Linked DNA regions of Callithrix jacchus. The protein of the gene in region 4 interacts with the protein of the main gene of each other region in a pairwise test. Links are inferred from orthologs where the notes say so. Each region holds a gene or a part of one and is shown on either strand. Other genes may lie near its edges.

The links. The genes of interacting proteins can lie anywhere in the genome.
Region 1: the proteins of CAMK2B (region 4) and ACOT7 interact in binary tests that used the Homo sapiens proteins (3 or more experiments, as listed by UniProt). The two-hybrid records come from large-scale screens. The link is inferred for Callithrix jacchus from reciprocal best matches to the Homo sapiens genes CAMK2B and ACOT7.
Region 2: the proteins of CAMK2B (region 4) and CCM2L interact in binary tests that used the Homo sapiens proteins (3 or more experiments, as listed by UniProt). The two-hybrid records come from large-scale screens. The link is inferred for Callithrix jacchus from reciprocal best matches to the Homo sapiens genes CAMK2B and CCM2L.
Region 3: the proteins of CAMK2B (region 4) and MORF4L1 interact in binary tests that used the Homo sapiens proteins (3 or more experiments, as listed by UniProt). The two-hybrid records come from large-scale screens. The link is inferred for Callithrix jacchus from reciprocal best matches to the Homo sapiens genes CAMK2B and MORF4L1.

What each region holds. Positions count from the first base shown.
Region 1 is NC_133508.1:44,282,586-44,286,803, reverse strand, and holds the start of ACOT7 (cytosolic acyl coenzyme A thioester hydrolase), read left to right. Parts: upstream 1-1,414; 5' UTR 1,415-1,427; coding exon 1,428-1,729; intron 1,730-4,218. UniProt on the Homo sapiens protein: Catalyzes the hydrolysis of acyl-CoAs into free fatty acids and coenzyme A (CoASH), regulating their respective intracellular levels.
Region 2 is NC_133506.1:7,189,606-7,193,843, forward strand, and holds the start of CCM2L (cerebral cavernous malformations 2 protein-like), read right to left. Parts: upstream 2,805-4,238; 5' UTR 2,758-2,804; coding exon 2,728-2,757; intron 1-2,727.
Region 3 is NC_133507.1:29,202,981-29,207,142, reverse strand, and holds the start of MORF4L1 (mortality factor 4-like protein 1), read left to right. Parts: upstream 1-1,358; 5' UTR 1,359-1,420; coding exon 1,421-1,460; intron 1,461-2,180; exon of another isoform or gene 2,181-2,271; coding exon of another isoform or gene 2,272-2,305; intron 2,306-4,162. UniProt on the Homo sapiens protein: Component of the NuA4 histone acetyltransferase (HAT) complex which is involved in transcriptional activation of select genes principally by acetylation of nucleosomal histones H4 and H2A.
Region 4 is NC_133512.1:12,305,717-12,309,275, forward strand, and holds part of CAMK2B (calcium/calmodulin-dependent protein kinase type II subunit beta), read right to left. Parts: intron 3,305-3,559; coding exon 3,191-3,304; intron 2,770-3,190; coding exon 2,641-2,769; intron 1,212-2,640; coding exon 1,083-1,211; intron 1-1,082. UniProt on the Homo sapiens protein: Calcium/calmodulin-dependent protein kinase that functions autonomously after Ca(2+)/calmodulin-binding and autophosphorylation, and is involved in dendritic spine and synapse formation, neuronal plasticity and regulation of sarcoplasmic reticulum Ca(2+) transport in skeletal muscle.

The DNA of each region.
Region 1 (4,218 bases), on a different chromosome or scaffold from region 4:
ACCTGGGCTGCCCCTGCTCCTGGGAGTTATAGACCATGTTGTGGGCTGCCTTCACGGTCCGGTAGCGGTGACCAGGATGAGGTACAGTTCCTTTAGAGCTACCTAGCTGAGTGTAAAATGGCTTGTTCAAATTGCACTGGGGAGCTGGAGTTGTGTGGGTTTTCATTTAAAGATGTGAGTACAAATCTATGTGTACTGTGGAAATTCGGAAAAGGTCAAACTGGCTAGGAAGCAAAAAGCTGACATTCCAGCACGTGGGTGCGGCCGCTTCTCCCCTCTAGGATGTTTTTTTGGTGGATTTATTTTTTTTTTTTGGTGACCCCCAGTAGCCTGGACTCCGTTCCGGGTCACATCCGTGTGCTGTAAAACACTGCATGTTTCAGGGTTCATCGCTGCAACACGTGCACCTCCAGGCTGGCGCTCAGCGCTGCCGGGAAAAGCCGCATCCGGCAGTGTGAACAGGCGCGGGCCTTTCCTCCTTCCCACCTCGTGACGCTTTGTGCCGCTGCAGCAAAACCCCGTTCCATTCCCCGTGTGCGCGCCCGTGTGCTTCCCGGCAGCCGCCACCAATGCTCCTTTCCAGGAAACAGACTTCCATTCTCTCTTAGGGCGGATCGCAGAGAGCCGCGGATGCGGGCGACCGGGGCCCGGGTGGGGTGGGGGCGGGGTGGGATTCGGGCCAGACAGTCAGGCGCCCCGGCCGGACCTTCCGCCGTGACCTCATCCGGTCGCCCAGGCACCGGGCGCGGCAGCGAATCGGCGGCGCGGGCGGCCGGGAACGCCCCCGCACAAATATTTACCGCCGCGCGGAGAGCGAGGCCTACGTCCGCTCCGCCTACGCCACTCGGCCGCTTCTCTCCGGACTGTCACCGGGTCGGACGCGGCCTCCACGGCTCGCGGGCCTTTCCCGTGCCGGCGCGGCCCAACCGCCACAGATCCTTCTGGAAGCGGCGCCCGCCGCGGCCCTCACGGCGTCAGAACCGGACACACGCGCGAGCCCGCGGCGGCCTTGGCGGCCCGGGGCACGGGAAGCGGGGCGGGGCCTGCGCGGGGGCGGGGCCTGCGCGGGGAGGCCGCGTTAGATTCGCCCCCGGCGCGCAGGCTCCGCCTCGCCGGCGCCATGGCTCCGCCTCTGCCCTCCCCCTCTATGGCGCCGCCCCGGCTCATTCATTCCGCGCCGGGCCTGCCAGACACCTGCGCCCTCCTGCAGCCATCCGCCGCCGCCGCAGCCGCCAGCATGTCGGGCCCAGACGTCGAGACGCCGTCCGCCATCCAGATCTGCCGGTAAGAGAGGACTCGCGCGGCGCCGGCACAGGCCACCCGGCCTACCCAGCTCGGCCCTGCGGTCCCCACCCGCCGAGGCCGTCCCCAATTCCCGGCACGGCCTCCCGCGCCGCCGCCCAGGACCCCGCCCGCCAGCGGCCGGGATGCGCCTTGCGATGCAGCACAAGCAGGGCGGTCCCCGCCCGCCTTCCGCCGGCTCCTCCCAGCCGCCTCTTGAGGGCGGCGGTTGCGCCACCGGCCATTTGGGCGAGAAAGCCGGGCAGGGACGGGGCGGGTGGAGGTCCGTGCACAGCTCCAGAGCCCGGCGGCCGGCGCCCGCGGGCTGCCCCGCCCCGGGCCTCGCCCGAGCATCTCGGAGTCTCAGCCCCGTGGTCCTGCTTAGCCTCCTGGAGCATTCGGGATCGTTACCTCGGCGGTTGTGCTGCGCCAACCAAAGCCCCCAGAGGTGAAGGAGAGGTGCCCAGAGCCGGGCGAGCCCCTCGGTGGGTGCCTCCGTGGGAGGAGGCTGCAGAGCTACCGTCTTCAGGGCACTGCTTCGGTTTAGGGGAGGGCGGGTGTTGAAAGGAAGAACAGATAATACTGTTTGCCACTGACAGTTTACTATCAAGAAAAGGGAATCAGTGGTCTGTTGGGCCTGAAAGCATCTTACACAATAGGGGCAAAGGGTTGTCCTTCTAGGGCACCCCCCCCCCCGCCCCCGCCGGCTTCCTCCACCGGGTACTGAGTAGATAGATGCAAGCCCCCAGCGGAAGCTGGAGGCTGGAGATCATGAACAAGCTCATTTCCCATAGGAGGTGGGGAGGGCAGCCTCAAGGTTACTCTGCAGTTCCCTTCGGTAGAATCGGAAGCAGATGCAGGCTGGCATTTGTGCATGAGCTAAGTGAGGACAAGGAGTCTAGGTTTTCAGCCACTGCACATGGGCACTATGGACTTCGACCGATCCTACCCTGCTTGATGAACTACCAGTAGTGAGAGCTGCTGTTTTGGTGGTGGGTGCCTCACGTTTGGGAGTTGGGCATCACAGATTGACCTTGGGCTCAAGCCAAGTCCAAGAAAAGCAAGTAACGTTCCCGTAGACATTGACCTCTCCCGGAAGGCTCGGCATATAGCAATATTCCTGGGTCAATGGACATATAGCAATATAGTCCTGGGTCAATGAAACTCCTTGACCCTCAGTCTCAGGCCCTCTTCTGGGCTGGTCGAGGGCCTTTCCTGCCGGTTTGATTTTTCCAGAGAGGCATCATCTTTGTGCGGAGCCCTGCCCTTTGACTTTGGCTGTGTGGCTATCCTGGCCCCATCACCTCTGGAGGTGGGGAAAGCGGAGCAAACATAATGGAAGTAACTGGAGACAGACGGCCTGCATCAGGTCTCTGAATCAGCTCTGCTGAGTATTGGCTGGGAACCTTGGGCTCCCTGGTTTGCAGAGTTTATACCTGTCTGATCTCACTTGGTTTGCCCAGCTTCCCTGGGAGGTTGATGGTCAGGAAGGCCACCTCTACCTGTATGGAGGAGGAAATGGCGGTTTCAAGAGTTGAATAATTGTGTAAAGTCATCCTGCTCCAGGAGCTCCAGGGACAGCCCCGCCCAGGTCTTCTGACTCCAGATCAGTGTTCTTCTCACACCTCTCCTGAATGAAGGAAGTCTTGGTTTAAATCTACCTGTGGAAGGCTGGGCTTTTATTTACTTCTTCAGGATGATGAATAGCCAGTTCATACATGTTATCTCTTTTCACCCAGGTTCTAACAGTTACTAGATTTTTTTTTTTTTTGAGACGGAGTCTTGCTGTGTTACCCAGGCTCGAGTGCAGTGGCACACTCAACTCAGTACAACCTCTGCTTCCTTAGTTCAAGCATGTCTACCTTAGCCTCCTGAGTATCTGGGACTACAGGTGTGCACCACCACACCCAGCTAATTTTTGTATTTGTAGTAGAGATGGTATTTCACCATGTTGGCCAGGCTGGTCTTGAACTCCGACCTCAGCTTCACAAAGTTGAGATTACAGGCATGAGCCACCGGGCCTGGCCAATTGCATATTGTTTCTAAGTGGCTGCTTTGGCCAGATGACTGGCGAGCAGGATGCCTGGCTGTCCCCTTCATGAGTGAGCAGGTGAGTCTCAGGTGCAGGGCATGACTGCCAAAAGAGTGGGTGGGAGTGGTGGTAGGATTAGGCCTGTGAAGAGAAGGCTGTGGTCACATGGGCTTGACCAGAGAAATGATAGGACACTGGAGAGTGACTGAACTAGGATGGGGAGCCCTTTAAGGACATCCAAGCCAACACCCCAAGCTGAAAGAGGAGACTCCTGGCCCATTATAGCCAAGCCCATGAATTTAACAGGGCTTCGCTGGACACCACCAAGAAGCATAGCACTAGCACCAGGAGGGCAACTGATGCATGGAAAATTCCGCCCCCGCCTTAACGGGTCACAGTCCAGCAGGGGTGAGGACGCCTATATCCCCACCATCTTGGACAGTTAGAATGGTCACATGTTCTCAGTTCAGACACTGTTGAAGGGATAGGGGCTTTTAAGGCTGGTGATGATGGCAGTGGTTATGGGCAGCTCTGCAATCCTAGGCTTGGGGGTGGATTTGGCCTTTGCCCCTTGCTAGCTGTGTGACCTGAAACACACTGCTTAACGTTTCTCTTCCCCCCTTTTCTCATGTGTTGTTCTGAGGCTAACTGAGGCTAAATCAAGTGTAGCGAGTGGCTGGTGGAGTGGCTGGCACATTGTAAGTCCAAGGAAGCTCATGGCTTCGGTTTGAATCCCAGCTCTTGCAGGTGGTATATGGCTTTAGGCACGTTCCTTAACCTTGTTCAACTTTTGTTTTCTTTTTTCCTTTTTTTTTTTTGAGACAGGGTCTTGCTCTGTCTCCCAGGCTGGAGTGTAGTGGTGTGATCATGGCTCACTGCAGCCTCTATCTCCCAGGCTAAGGCAA
Region 2 (4,238 bases), on a different chromosome or scaffold from region 4:
TTTTAGTAGAGATGAGGTCTTGGTGTGTTGCCCAGGCTGGTCTTGAACTCCTGAGCTCAAATGATTCTCCTACCTTGGCCTCCCAAAGTGCTGGGATTACAGGTGTGAGCCATTGGGTTTAATGGACTTAATCTTAAATCTGTTAAGTTTTTTAAAGCCTCCTTAGGGAATTTCAAAAGGCAGCTCAACTGAAAACCGCTGAGTCAATGTGTGGTGTGATTACTTAATTCTTGTAACTAGTCAGGTGTGAGTAAGGTAAGACAACCCTCCCTCCCCTCCCCGCCCCCACCCACAAGGAGCTCACATTCTTGTTCGGGTAAACAGAACACAAGTCCACACATACATCTGTTCATTTACTTATTCATTCAGTAAACATTTATTCACACCTGTATGGCTGGACCCTGTGCTGGGTGCTGAGGATTCAGTGGAGACCTGGACCCCATCCTTGCCTCCAGGGCTTGTGAGAAATGACCTAGACTAGTAAGTTTCCAACTTTATGTGCCCTCCAGTTTTGATTCAGCAGGATTGGGTTGGGGCCTGAGACTCTGCATTTCTCCCGAGCTCCCATTTGTTGCTGATGTTACTGGTCTGTGCGCCACACTTTGAGTAGCCAGGATCTAAACTGGTGGTTCTCAAAGTGTAGCCCCACAACCATCAGCATAACCTGTGGGGCTGTTAGAATTGCAAATTCTTTCTGGCTCAGGCGATCCTCCCCCCTCTGCCTCACAGTAGCTGGGACCACAGACATGCACCACCACCACACCTAGCTAATATATATATTTTTAAGAGATGAGGTCTCATTCTGTTGCCCAGTCTGGTCTTGAACTCCTAGGCTCATGCAATCCTCCTGCCTCAGCCTCCCAAACTGTTGTGATTACAGGCATGAGCCACTGTGCCTGGCCAAAAATGCAATTCCTTGAACCCCACCCCAGACCTATTGGCCCAGAAACTGGGGGTAAAACCCAGTGATCTGTATTTTAACAAGCCCTCAGGTGATTCTAATGGGTGCTTAACTTAGAGTAGAACCAATATCATAGAACCTGGATGGGGTATGTAGAAACTGAGGAATGAGAGGAAACTATTTGGGAGAGAACATGCCAAGCAGAGGGCATGGCATATGCAGAAATCTGGATGCCTCAAAGGCTGGTTGAGGGTGAGCCTGGAGAAGCCATGTGCAGTCAGTCTGCGTGGCTAGATTATGAGATGAATATATAGAGGCCTTCAATGCCAGCTATGGAGCTGGGACTTTGTCTTGCATATGTGTGTGTGGTGGGGATCGGGTGGAGTTGGTATTTTTGTTGGTGGCCCTGAATGGCTCAGCTCTGCCCACCTGTCCAGTCCCATTTGTCTCACTCTTGTCCCCCGGGCCCCCACTACAGTCCTCCTTCAGTCCCTCCAGCGTGCTATGTTCCTTCCCACTGTGGGGCTTTTGCATATGCTGTTCCTCTGCCCCAAACACTCTTCCCTACCCCCTTTCCTTCCACCCATCAGCTCTCAACTCAAACTGACCAGTCTAAGGCTGGGTACCCTAATATTCTGTCCTTCAGCACTGAGTATAGGACTTTCTGTAAATTTTTATTTATTTATTTATTTCGAGACAGAGTCTCATTCTGTCACCCAGGCTGGAGTGCAGTGACACGATCTCAGGTCACTGCAACCTCTGCCTCCTGGATTCAAGTGATTCTCCTGCCTTAACCTCCCTAGTCGCTGGGATTACAGGTATGTGCCACCACAGCCAGCTAATTTTTGTATTTTTAGTAGAGACAGGGTTTCACCATGTGGGCCAGGCTGGTCTCAAACCCTGACTTCAGGTGATCTGCCTGCCTGGGCCTCCCAAAGTGCTGGGATTACAGGTGTGAACCACTGCATCCAGCCCTCCTATGCAATTTTCCATTAATTTATTCATTGCCTTCTAAAAACTGAAGTGCTTGGTGCATAATAGGCACTCAATAAATATCTGTTAAAAGAACAAACCAAGAGAAAACATGCGCATATGTGTTGGCTCCCTTCTGAGCCCTCTGTGGTTCATGTGGGCACCTTTCACAATAGCCCAGACCCACATTTCTGGTGGGAAGGGGAGAGGGGAGTGTGGAAATGGGGGTGAGATAGAAGTTGAAATTAGAGTGGCTCCCTGAACTCCAAAGACAACCAGGTGAGACACCCAGGGAAGCATACCAGAAATCTTTTCAGAGTCAGAAGGGGTGAGGATCTGGGGGTGGGGGAATGGCTCCTGGCTGACGCCTTACGCATAGGCCCTTCTATAAAGGTGGGGAGGAGCAGGGAAGCAGGCGGGAGACTCAAGCCTAGGTAGGCGACCTCCTACCGGAATTGCCCCGGCTGGGTCCTTCTGTCTGGGGCTGTGGTGAGCAGAAGAATGGATCTGCTGGGTGTCTGTCTGTCTGTCTGGGAGGCTGCAGGAGGGAGCCACCAGAAATAGCAGGGAAGCAGGTGTGGAGAATCTCCCAAAGCAAGTCTGTCTGGCCAGGTTTCCTGGGAAGGTCCCTGTCTGTCCATTTTAGGGATGCCAGAGCCCACTGAGAGTGGAGAAACAGGGAGTTTAGAGCCTGAAGGTCTGGCTGCCCAAGAGTGGGAAGGAAGTTACTTCCAAATGAGAAGGAAGGTCCCTCTTAGGGCCCTCACTACCGATCCCTCGCCCACCCCAGTCTGCCCCCTTCCCCAGCTTTGGGGACATTCCTCTCCCTGCGTCCCTCCCAACCTCCCACCTACCTTCTTCCCTTTCTTGACTTCATATTCCATGGTGAAGTGTCCCCTCTACTCCTGCCACCCTCCTGGCCATCTCTTCCAACCCCCCCTCAGTTCCTTTGTTCTTTTTCCTGCCTAGTCGGAAACTCCACCAGCCCTGGAGTTCCTGCCCCTCCCATCTGATGGGGAGGGTGGGGGTGGGGGGTGGTGGTATGGAGGACACAGCCTTGGGACCCTGCGGCTGAAGGGTGGAAGTCCAGGCACAGCTGACCTGGGGAGGGAGGCTCAAGGCCTCTAGCCAGAAGGCATGTTACTAGGGGAGCTTGGGAATTGGCCAAGACTGGAGAAGGGCCCCCCAAATTTGAAGTCCTAATTTGGAAAATTCCAAGTTCCAGCCCTACTTCTGCTACTGACCTCGTTGTGTGACCTTGACAAGGCCAGTCAGCTCCCCCTTTCACAGCCTGTTTCCCCCTCCCCTCTATAAATTGGGAGTAAACTTTTTCTCCCTCCCTAGGCTGCTGTGGTGAGAAATTAAAGAGTGGGTGGAAAGTGCCTTAAAAACTATAGAATACTGTAGCTAAGCAAGTTATGATTTAAAAATAATAATCATTACTATTAAGGGAGGCAGTATGTGTGGGCTTTGAAGACAGCCTGCTTGAGTTTGAATCCTAGCTTTGGCACTTACTAGGGTTCTCTTTACCACCAGAGCCTCAGTTTTCCCATCTTTAAAATGAGTATGATACTAGTTTAACTTCATAGGGAGCCTGGAAGGATTAAATGCACCTAGAAGAACTTCTGGCACATATTAAGTACTCAGTAAGGCCGGGCATGGTGGCTCATGCCTGTAATCCCAGTACTTAGGGAGGCCAAGGCAGGCAGATCACCTGAGGTCAGGAGTTCAAGACCAGCCTGGTCAACATGGTGAAACCCCGTCTCTGCTAAAAATACAAAAATTAGCTGGACATGGTGGCACATGCCTGTAGTCCCAGCTATTCAGGAGGCTGAGGCAGGAGAATCGCTTGAACCTGGGAGGTGGAGATTGTGGTGAGCTGAGATTGCGCCATTGCACTACAGTCTGGGTGACAGAGCAAGACTTTGTCTCAAAAAGTATAAAAAATAAGTGCTCAGTAAACATTAACTGTTTAACCTGCCTAGTGGTTGTCAACTTAAAGAACAAACAGAGACTCTCTGAAAGAAAAGATATTTCCCTTAGGAACACTGCATTCTCAGGGAGGTGAAGGAAGACAAAGAATTTTAAAGCAAAAAAAAAAAATAAGGATTACGCTATTGTTTTTGAAATAATTATCCTTGGCTACAAAGATCAATAGCAAGAGTGATGCCAGGCTAAAGTTGGACAGCAGTTGGTGGGCAGATGTCCTTGCAGAAGTATTTCTTGCGCAAGGTTCGATGGCCTTTGTGCAAGGTTGGGATTTTTGCAGTCTTTTTTGTTATCTGTTTTGTTATCAGTCTTATTTGTTATACAAGCATGAAAACCCTCTATGGCTTTCCCCAGCTCTATTTGTCAAGATTTTCTT
Region 3 (4,162 bases), on a different chromosome or scaffold from region 4:
TGAGCCAATGAAGTTGTTTTTGTACAGGGAACGACATAAAGAAATCTGTCTGTTTAGGCCAGGGTGGCTCATGCCTGTAGTCCCAGCACTTTGAGAGGCCCAGGTGGGTGGATCACGAGGTCACGAGTTCTACACCAGCCTGGTCAACATGGTGAAACCCGGTCTCTACTAAAAATACAAAAATTAGCTGGGCATAGTGGTACGTGACTGTCTGTAAGCCCAGCTACTCAGGAGGATGAGGCAGGAGAATCTGTTGAACCTGGGAAGAGGAGGTTGCAGTGTCACCCAGGCTGAAGCACTACTGCACTCCATCTTGAGCTAAAAAAAAAAAAGAAGAAAGAAGGGACGGGCGCGGTGGCTCACGCCTGTAATCCCAGCACTTTGGGAGGCTGAGGCGGGCGGATAACAACGTCAGGAGATAGAGACCATCCTGACCCACATGATGAAACCCCATCTCTATTGAAAAAAAAAAAAAGAAAGAAAAGAAAAGAAAAATGTATAATGTTGAAGAAATCCGTGTGTTTAGAGTGTGTACATTCAATTACGGCTCAAAAAATTAGATGACAAAAAAGCACGAACGGGGCAGGCATGGAATGCAGACGTTGGTGTATTCACACTAGCGTTTTCAGAAAGCAGAGCTCCATCATCTCAGTCAAAGCCTGCCTAGTGTTTCCTACGTCATCTTCCTCATTTCCGCAGGGCCGGGGCTGGCAAAGAGGAGGTAGACCCGGGAGCCAACAATGGCTATCAATCCCACCAAACAGACTCGGCAGTGGGCTTGCTAAACAATGAAGCTGGTTCCAGAAGCGGACTCCGCTTCCCACCTCCTTGAGGCCAGATTGCTGACCCTAAAGCTTTTCTATGCAAAAACTAGCGGAATGCTTTTGAATGGAGGTTTCAGAGGCAGTCCTATTCTGTCCGGATACTTCCACATCAATGGGGGCTTATCTGCGCGAGGGACCTTTGCCATTCTTTCATCACTAATGGCTCACCGCCCCCAGTCTCCCCCATCGCCAGCTCCACCTTAACCTCCAACGAAATCAAATCTCCGCTTTACCGACCCGCAGCAGGCGGGGGGATGGGGAGTGGAGGGTGGGGGATGGAAACGGGCCGGGGTCGGGGTGAGGGTGGCCGGCCCCTCCCCCACCCGGCTGCTCCTCCAGCGACTCGGAACTACCAGTCCCGGCGTGCCCCGGGGCGGCGCGGGCGCAGGGGCGCGTGCGCAGCGGGCTGCAATTGGCTGGGGCAGCGGCTGCGCGGGTCGCGGTGCTGTGAGGTCAGCCGGCGCTGGCAAATCCGGTCCAGGATGTAGAGCTGGCGGTGCCTGACGGCACGTCTGACGTGAAGTTGGGTGGGGTAGAGAGTAGGGGGCGGTAGTCGGGGGTGGTGGGAGAAGGAGGAGGCGGCGAATCACTTATAAATGGCGCCGAAGCAGGACCCGAAGCCTAAATTCCAGGAGGGTAAGTGGGAGTCTTTCGGAAAATGGCACCTAAGGACGCAGGAGATAAAGGCGGGCTGGGGGTGGTTGAGGTTTGGGGGCTGGGGGCGGCGCGGGCTGCGCCCTGAGAAGGCGGTGGACTGTGCTTTGTGCAGGGAAAGGGCATTGCGGATGGTAATTCCAATGCGTCACTGTGAGAAAGCGCTTTGTGAAGCGAGAGCGCTACGCAGGCGTTAGAGCGGGAGAGCGAGCGTTTGGCGCGTGGCACACCTTCGTCGAGTGTTATTTTTCTGAGGAAGAGGGCGCGGAGAGAGCAGCCTATTGTAGGGAGGCGACGGGAGCGCCATGGCGGCGCTGAGGGGAAGTGATGTGGCAGCGGGGGCGGGGGGGGCAGCGGCCGTTTCGGGCGGTCCTGCGGGGCGCCCGGCCGCTTGTGCGGCCACGACTGGCGGTTCGGTGTTGCCTGGAGCCCCGCGGTGGCCGCGTTCGGGGGAGACTCGGAGCTGCGGAAAGGGGGGTGGGTTTGGCGGCCCGGGCGGGAGAACTGCGTTGTAAAATGGCCGTTGCAAAATGGTGGCGCCATCATGGCCACCGGCGTCTCGGCTCTGTGTGCAGGCGCAGCGCCCCCTTCTGTGACGACCGCAACGTTGCCAGGGCCCTCCGGTTCAGAGTGGTGGGTGGGGACAAAAAAAAAAGGTTCAGTGGGATGAGCGTTTTTCTCTGCTTTGTGTTGCCTAGAGGCATCACTTTGCTGTGCTTCGGCGCACTGCCAGGATCCTACCGTGATGTGAGTGCGCCCTCGCTGTGCAGTTGCTTGTAAAAAGTGAATAAAAATGAGCGGAATGTTGTGTTACGGCGTTTACATTTGTAAGTCCCACGGCCTCGACATTTTTTAAATGCAGCAATTGATTAGTTTGATTAGTTGCAGTGTTTAACAATCATCTGGAAGTTGAGTTTATTTTTAATTGGCTTTCGATGACGTTTTGGCTCAGGTTAGATTGGCTTCCAGTGGGAGGCAGCTCTACATTTTCGTAGCGCATCAATTAACGTATAATAAGGTGGAGGTCTAACAGCTAAAAAGGAAGTAAAATAATTTTGGAAAGGAGGAACACTTGAAAATTCCTTTTCATTGCTATGAAAATTTGTGCTAGTTACCTTAAATACGATGTCTACAAGTTTTTGATTTTTGTTCAAGGGAGTTTTAGACTTGCATTAGAATTCCTTTTAGAGCCGTAAACGCAAAACCAAAGTACTGCATATTTTAAGTTTATGGGCTATTTAAGGGGGCTTTGGGAGTATTTTTGTTAATGAGTGACTTCCTTTGTTTAAATTTTTGAGACGGAGTCTCACTCCGTCACCCAGGCAGGAGTGCCAGTGGCGCTATCTCGGCTCACTGCAACCTCTGGCACCCCCCCTCCCCCACCGCAAGCCTCCGACGTCAGCCTCCCAAGTAGATGGGATTACCAACTCGGGCTGCGACGCCAGGCTAAAGTTTTTTTGTTTTGTTTTTCGGTTTTATTGTTGTTGTTTTTATTTTGTATTTTTGATAGAGACGGGTTTTCATGTTGCCCAGTGTGGTCTCGAACTCCTGTCCTCAAGCGATCCACCCTCCTCGGTTTCCTAAAGTGGTGGGATTACAGGCGTGAGCCACCGTGCTAGACGGTGACTGACTTTTAATACCCATCTTCCACCTTGAGAAGGGGGGCTCTACCTTCTGTGGATTCATTATTTTACTAGGCAATTTAGAGCAGATACTCTTTTTTTTTTTTTTTCCTCCCTTAAAGGGGACCGAGGCCCCGAAGCGGGCCGATGGTCTTTTTATTTTTTCCCGAGACAGAGTTTGGCTCTTCTTGCCCAGGCTGCAGTGCAATGGCACGATCTCACCTCACCGCAGTTTTCACCTCCTAGGTTCAAGCGATTCCTTTGCCTCAGCTTCCCGAGTAGCTGGGATTACAGATGTGCGCCAGCATGCCCCACTAATTTTGTTTCTTTTCGTAGAGACGAGATTTCTTCATGTTGGTCAGGCTGGTACTCAAACTCCGGACCTCAGGTGATCCACCCGCCTCCCAAACTGCTGGAATTATAGGCGTGAGCCACCGCGCCCGGCCTCCGAGCAGATATTCTTTTTTTTCTTTTTTTTTTTTTTTTTGAGACGGAGTTTCGCTCTTGTTACCCAGGCTGGAGTGCAGTGGCGCGATCTCGGCTCACCTCAACCTCCCCCTCCTGGGTTCCGGCAATTCTCCTGCCTCAGCCTCCTGAGTAGCTGGGATTACAGGCACGCGCCACCATGCCCAGCTAATTTTTTTGTATTTTTAGTAGAGACAGGGTTTCACCATGTTGACCAGGATGGTCTCGATCTCTTGAGCTCGTGATCCACCCGCCTCGGCCTCCCAAAGTGCTGGGATTACAGGCTTGAGCCACCGCGCCCGGAGTCAGTGGATATAATCCAGAGGGCACGTGAATTTGAATGAGGAAGGTTTTTTTCCCCCCCCCATTTAGCTGAAGTTTAGCATTTCAATTTACAGTGTAAATCCTCCCCAACCACGGAAAAAATGAAACCCGCATTAGTATTTGCAGTATATTTTCATATCTCCGCATTACAATTGTGGAAGTTGCATTCAATTATCACTTACTCTTTCCTGTTTTTTCTACGTTAAGGTAGTTACTGGATTAGCCACTAAGTCTTGTTTAAAAATTAGTATCAAATAAGGAGCTAAAATGTCG
Region 4 (3,559 bases):
GTTCTGGCTGCCCAGGCACCCCAACCCATCACCATCAAGAACCTGGTCTCTCCCCTCAGCCATTCACCTGTGACCCCCTCAGTCAACCCCTGCTGGGAGTCCTCAACCAACCACAGAACACTCAGGGGGTGAGTGCCCCTCCAGAGGCTGCCCCCGCCCTCTCTGGCACCAGGTGAATCCAGCGCCTCTTTGAGCCTGCAGGATGCATCCCCCTCTCGGGCTGCTGCTTCCACTCCCCTCAGCCCCAGTCGCCTGCAGCAGCCCCCAGGCCTGGTGTGCAGATGGGATGAGGGCACGCAGATCCTACCTGTTCCTCAGGTACTCACCCAGCCACTGCCCTGCCATGCCGAGCCCTTGGCCCAGCAGCCTCTTCTCTGAGAGCATCTCTGCACCACCCCCAGCCTGGTGTCTCCCCACAGGTGGGGGTGGCGGCAGCCCTGGGATGTCATCCATCCCTGTAAGCGATACTGCGGGCAGTCAGCAGACAGGCCGGGAGGTGGCCCAGCCTGGCTCCTCCCTGGCCAGAGAGGCCGCCCAGCCCAGCCTGTGCTTCCCGTCCCGCCCGCTCTGCCTCAGCCTGGCCCTAGCTGCCCCCCAGATCTGCGCCTTCCGTCCCCACCTGCTCCCTGCTGTCTGGACCTGGGTAGCTCAAATGCCAGAGTGTCTTGGGCTGGAACTGACACTTTTCTCTCCCTGCCCGGCAGGTCCACCTCGACACAAACTGGCAGCTCCCTGCGTGACAGCCCTTGCCACACTTGTGGACCCTCTGCTGTCTATTCCCCTCCCATCAAGAGAAAGCTGTGGATCTCAGGGTCTAGAGTGCTGGGGTCGGCGACAAACCTGCTCTTTCAGACACTCTTCCTACACACAGGTGTCACACATGCTTCATAACCATAACCTTCATTTTCAGAGACTCAGTGGCACCTTCATGTGCTTCAAAGCCATTCCCTGGGACCCAGCGGAGGGATCCTGTGCCCCCACCCTCCCCCGCAATCTGGCCCTTCCCAGAGCACCACCGCCGGCTCACACTCCCTGAGCCCCTCCGGGCAGCCGCTGCCAGGGCCACTCAAGGTGCTACTTACATGGGGTGGGCAGGGGGCCAGGGAGAGATGGAGATGGGCAGGGCGGGGGCCCCACTGGCGAGGGGCCCTCGGCTTCTGGGGTCCCTGAGCCCCTCCTCACAGAGTTCAGGATGTCAGAGATCCTGGGGGCTGGGGCGGAACGGATCAGACGTAAACACAAGGCAGGCACGGGGGGCACACAGGAGAGAAACCCATGGGCAGACAGCCAAGCCAGAGAGTGGTGGGCACAGAGAGACAGAGGGATGGGGCACAAGGGGACAGAGGGGAGGGAGGGAGGATAGAGGGTGTGGGGGGAAGAAGTTGGACATGGGCCGATAGAGGGGATGTGGGGTACAGAGGGGAGCTTGGGAGACAGAGGGGAGCTTGGGGAACAGAGAGGGAAATGGGAAATGGAGGAGACTTGGGGGACAGAGGGGAATGTGGGGGGACAGAGTGGGATATACAGGGCAGAGTGGGGTGTGAGTGACAGAAGGGGTGAGGAGACCAAGAGTGATGTGGGGACAGAGGGGCATGTAGGGGATAGAGGGGGATGTGGGGGACAGGGGAGGGTGTGGGGGACAGGAGGGAGTATGGGGAGGAAAACAGAAACTCGAGGGAAAGAGGGGAATTTGGGGAACAGAGGAGGACCTGGAGGACAGAGGGGATGTCAGGACAGAGGGGGTACTTAGGGGGACAAAGAGGGATATGGGGGTAGAGGGGTTGTAGTAGGGACCAAGGGGACAAGGGGGGACAGAGGAGACATGGGGACAGAGGGTGCTGCTGGCAACAGCATGGTGCATGGGGAGGAGGCTGCAGGAGTGGAGGCAGATGCTCCCGCTCTTGGGTGGGGTGGGCTGAAGCTGCTGTGGACAGAGGGCACCCTGCAGGGAGAGGCCGCTGGTCAGCAAAAGCTGCCAGGTAAGTGGTCCTTGAGGAGCGCTGGGCGGAGTCACAGGGAGAGATGGGGGTTGCTGGTGGCACAGAGGAGGCCAGGCTGGGCCCTGTGAGGACAGCCCAGGTCAGCGGAGGCCAAGCCTATGATTCTCCATGATAGCCTGTTGGCGAGCTCCAGGGACCCTGGCCAGGGTTCCAGTTCTGGCACCTTCCTCAGCCTCTTAGACTGACGGAGGGCGCTCAGGGGTTGGGGTCATATCAGGAAACAGGGTGGCCCTGAGTGCAGGCTCCTGGGTACCATGGGCAGGGCCCCTGGGTGGGTGTACAGTCTGTGGGGGGGACAGTGGTCAGCAGAGAGGGCCTAGGGGGTTAGGGGGCCTCAGAGGGGCCAGGGCTGCCCCAGGCTGGGACAGACCCTTTTGGAAGGGTCCTGGGGCTGGACAGCCAGCGGGGAGTGGCAGTGGGAACAGGAGCCGTGGAGGGGGCTGGGCCCTGAGGGAGAAGCCAGGAGCGGCCCTGCTGGTTAGCGTGGTAGCCCACGGAAGCCCCGCCAGGGCAGGACGCCAGGCTGCGGCACCAGAGCAGGGTAGCTGGGCCGTGCATGCAGGTGGGAAGCTGCTGAGCGCCGGCCATTCGCAGGGAGCTGTCCGCAGCAGAGGCAGCAGGCCTGGGGGCCGCTACTTACATGGGGTGGGCAGGGGGCCTAGGAGAGCTGGAGACAGGCAGGGCGGGGGCCCCGCTGAGAGAGGGCCCTCGGCTTCTGGGGTTCCTGAGCCCCTTCTCACAGAGTTCAGGATGTCAGAGATCCTGGGGGCTGGGGTGGAACAGACAAGACGTGAACATGAGGCAGACAGACATACGAGGTGGCAACAAGGTGGAGGAGGGCAGTGGAAGGGTCCCGTGTCCTAGACCCCTTGGGCCCTGGGGTCAGGCCCTGAATCAGAGCTGCCTCAACAGCAAGAAACTCCCCTGAGCTGAGGTGGAGTGAGGCCTGGGCCTCCGGGACCTCCCATCCTGCCCAGCAGACTTGGGCAGCAAAGTGCTCCAGGACCCACGTCACAGAGGTGGGGCTCGCTGGGCTGAGGCCGCCCTGGGAAGCCCCACTGAGGGTTGTGGGGCCATGAGGCAGGAGCCAGGGTCCGAGCTTAGCCTGTCCTTGGCTCTGGAGTGGCCCCTCTAGGTGGTTGCCAGCCCTCCAACCTGACCCCCACAGCAGCAGGGCCCAGGCTACTTACATTGGCCTGGCAGGGGGCTAAAGGGAGCCGGAGATGGGCAGGGCAGGGGCCCTTCAGCTTCTGGGGCTCCTGAGCCCCTCCTCACTGAGCTCAGGATGTCAGGGACTCTGGGGGCTGAGGCAGAACAGGTGAGGCAGGCAGGTGGGCAGGGGCGCCCGCAGGAAAAGAAGGCGACTGGAGAAGGACAGGGGGAGGCCAGGAGGGAGGGCGGGGTGACAGCTGGATACCTGGGATGGCCACCCTGTGGGGATCCTGGGCCTGCAATGGCCACAGCAGGTATGTGAGGGCTGAGGGAGCCAATACGGGGCAGTGCCGAGCCAGAGCCAGCAGAGGACAGAGCAGCGCAGGTCAGTGCAGGCTGGCACGGAG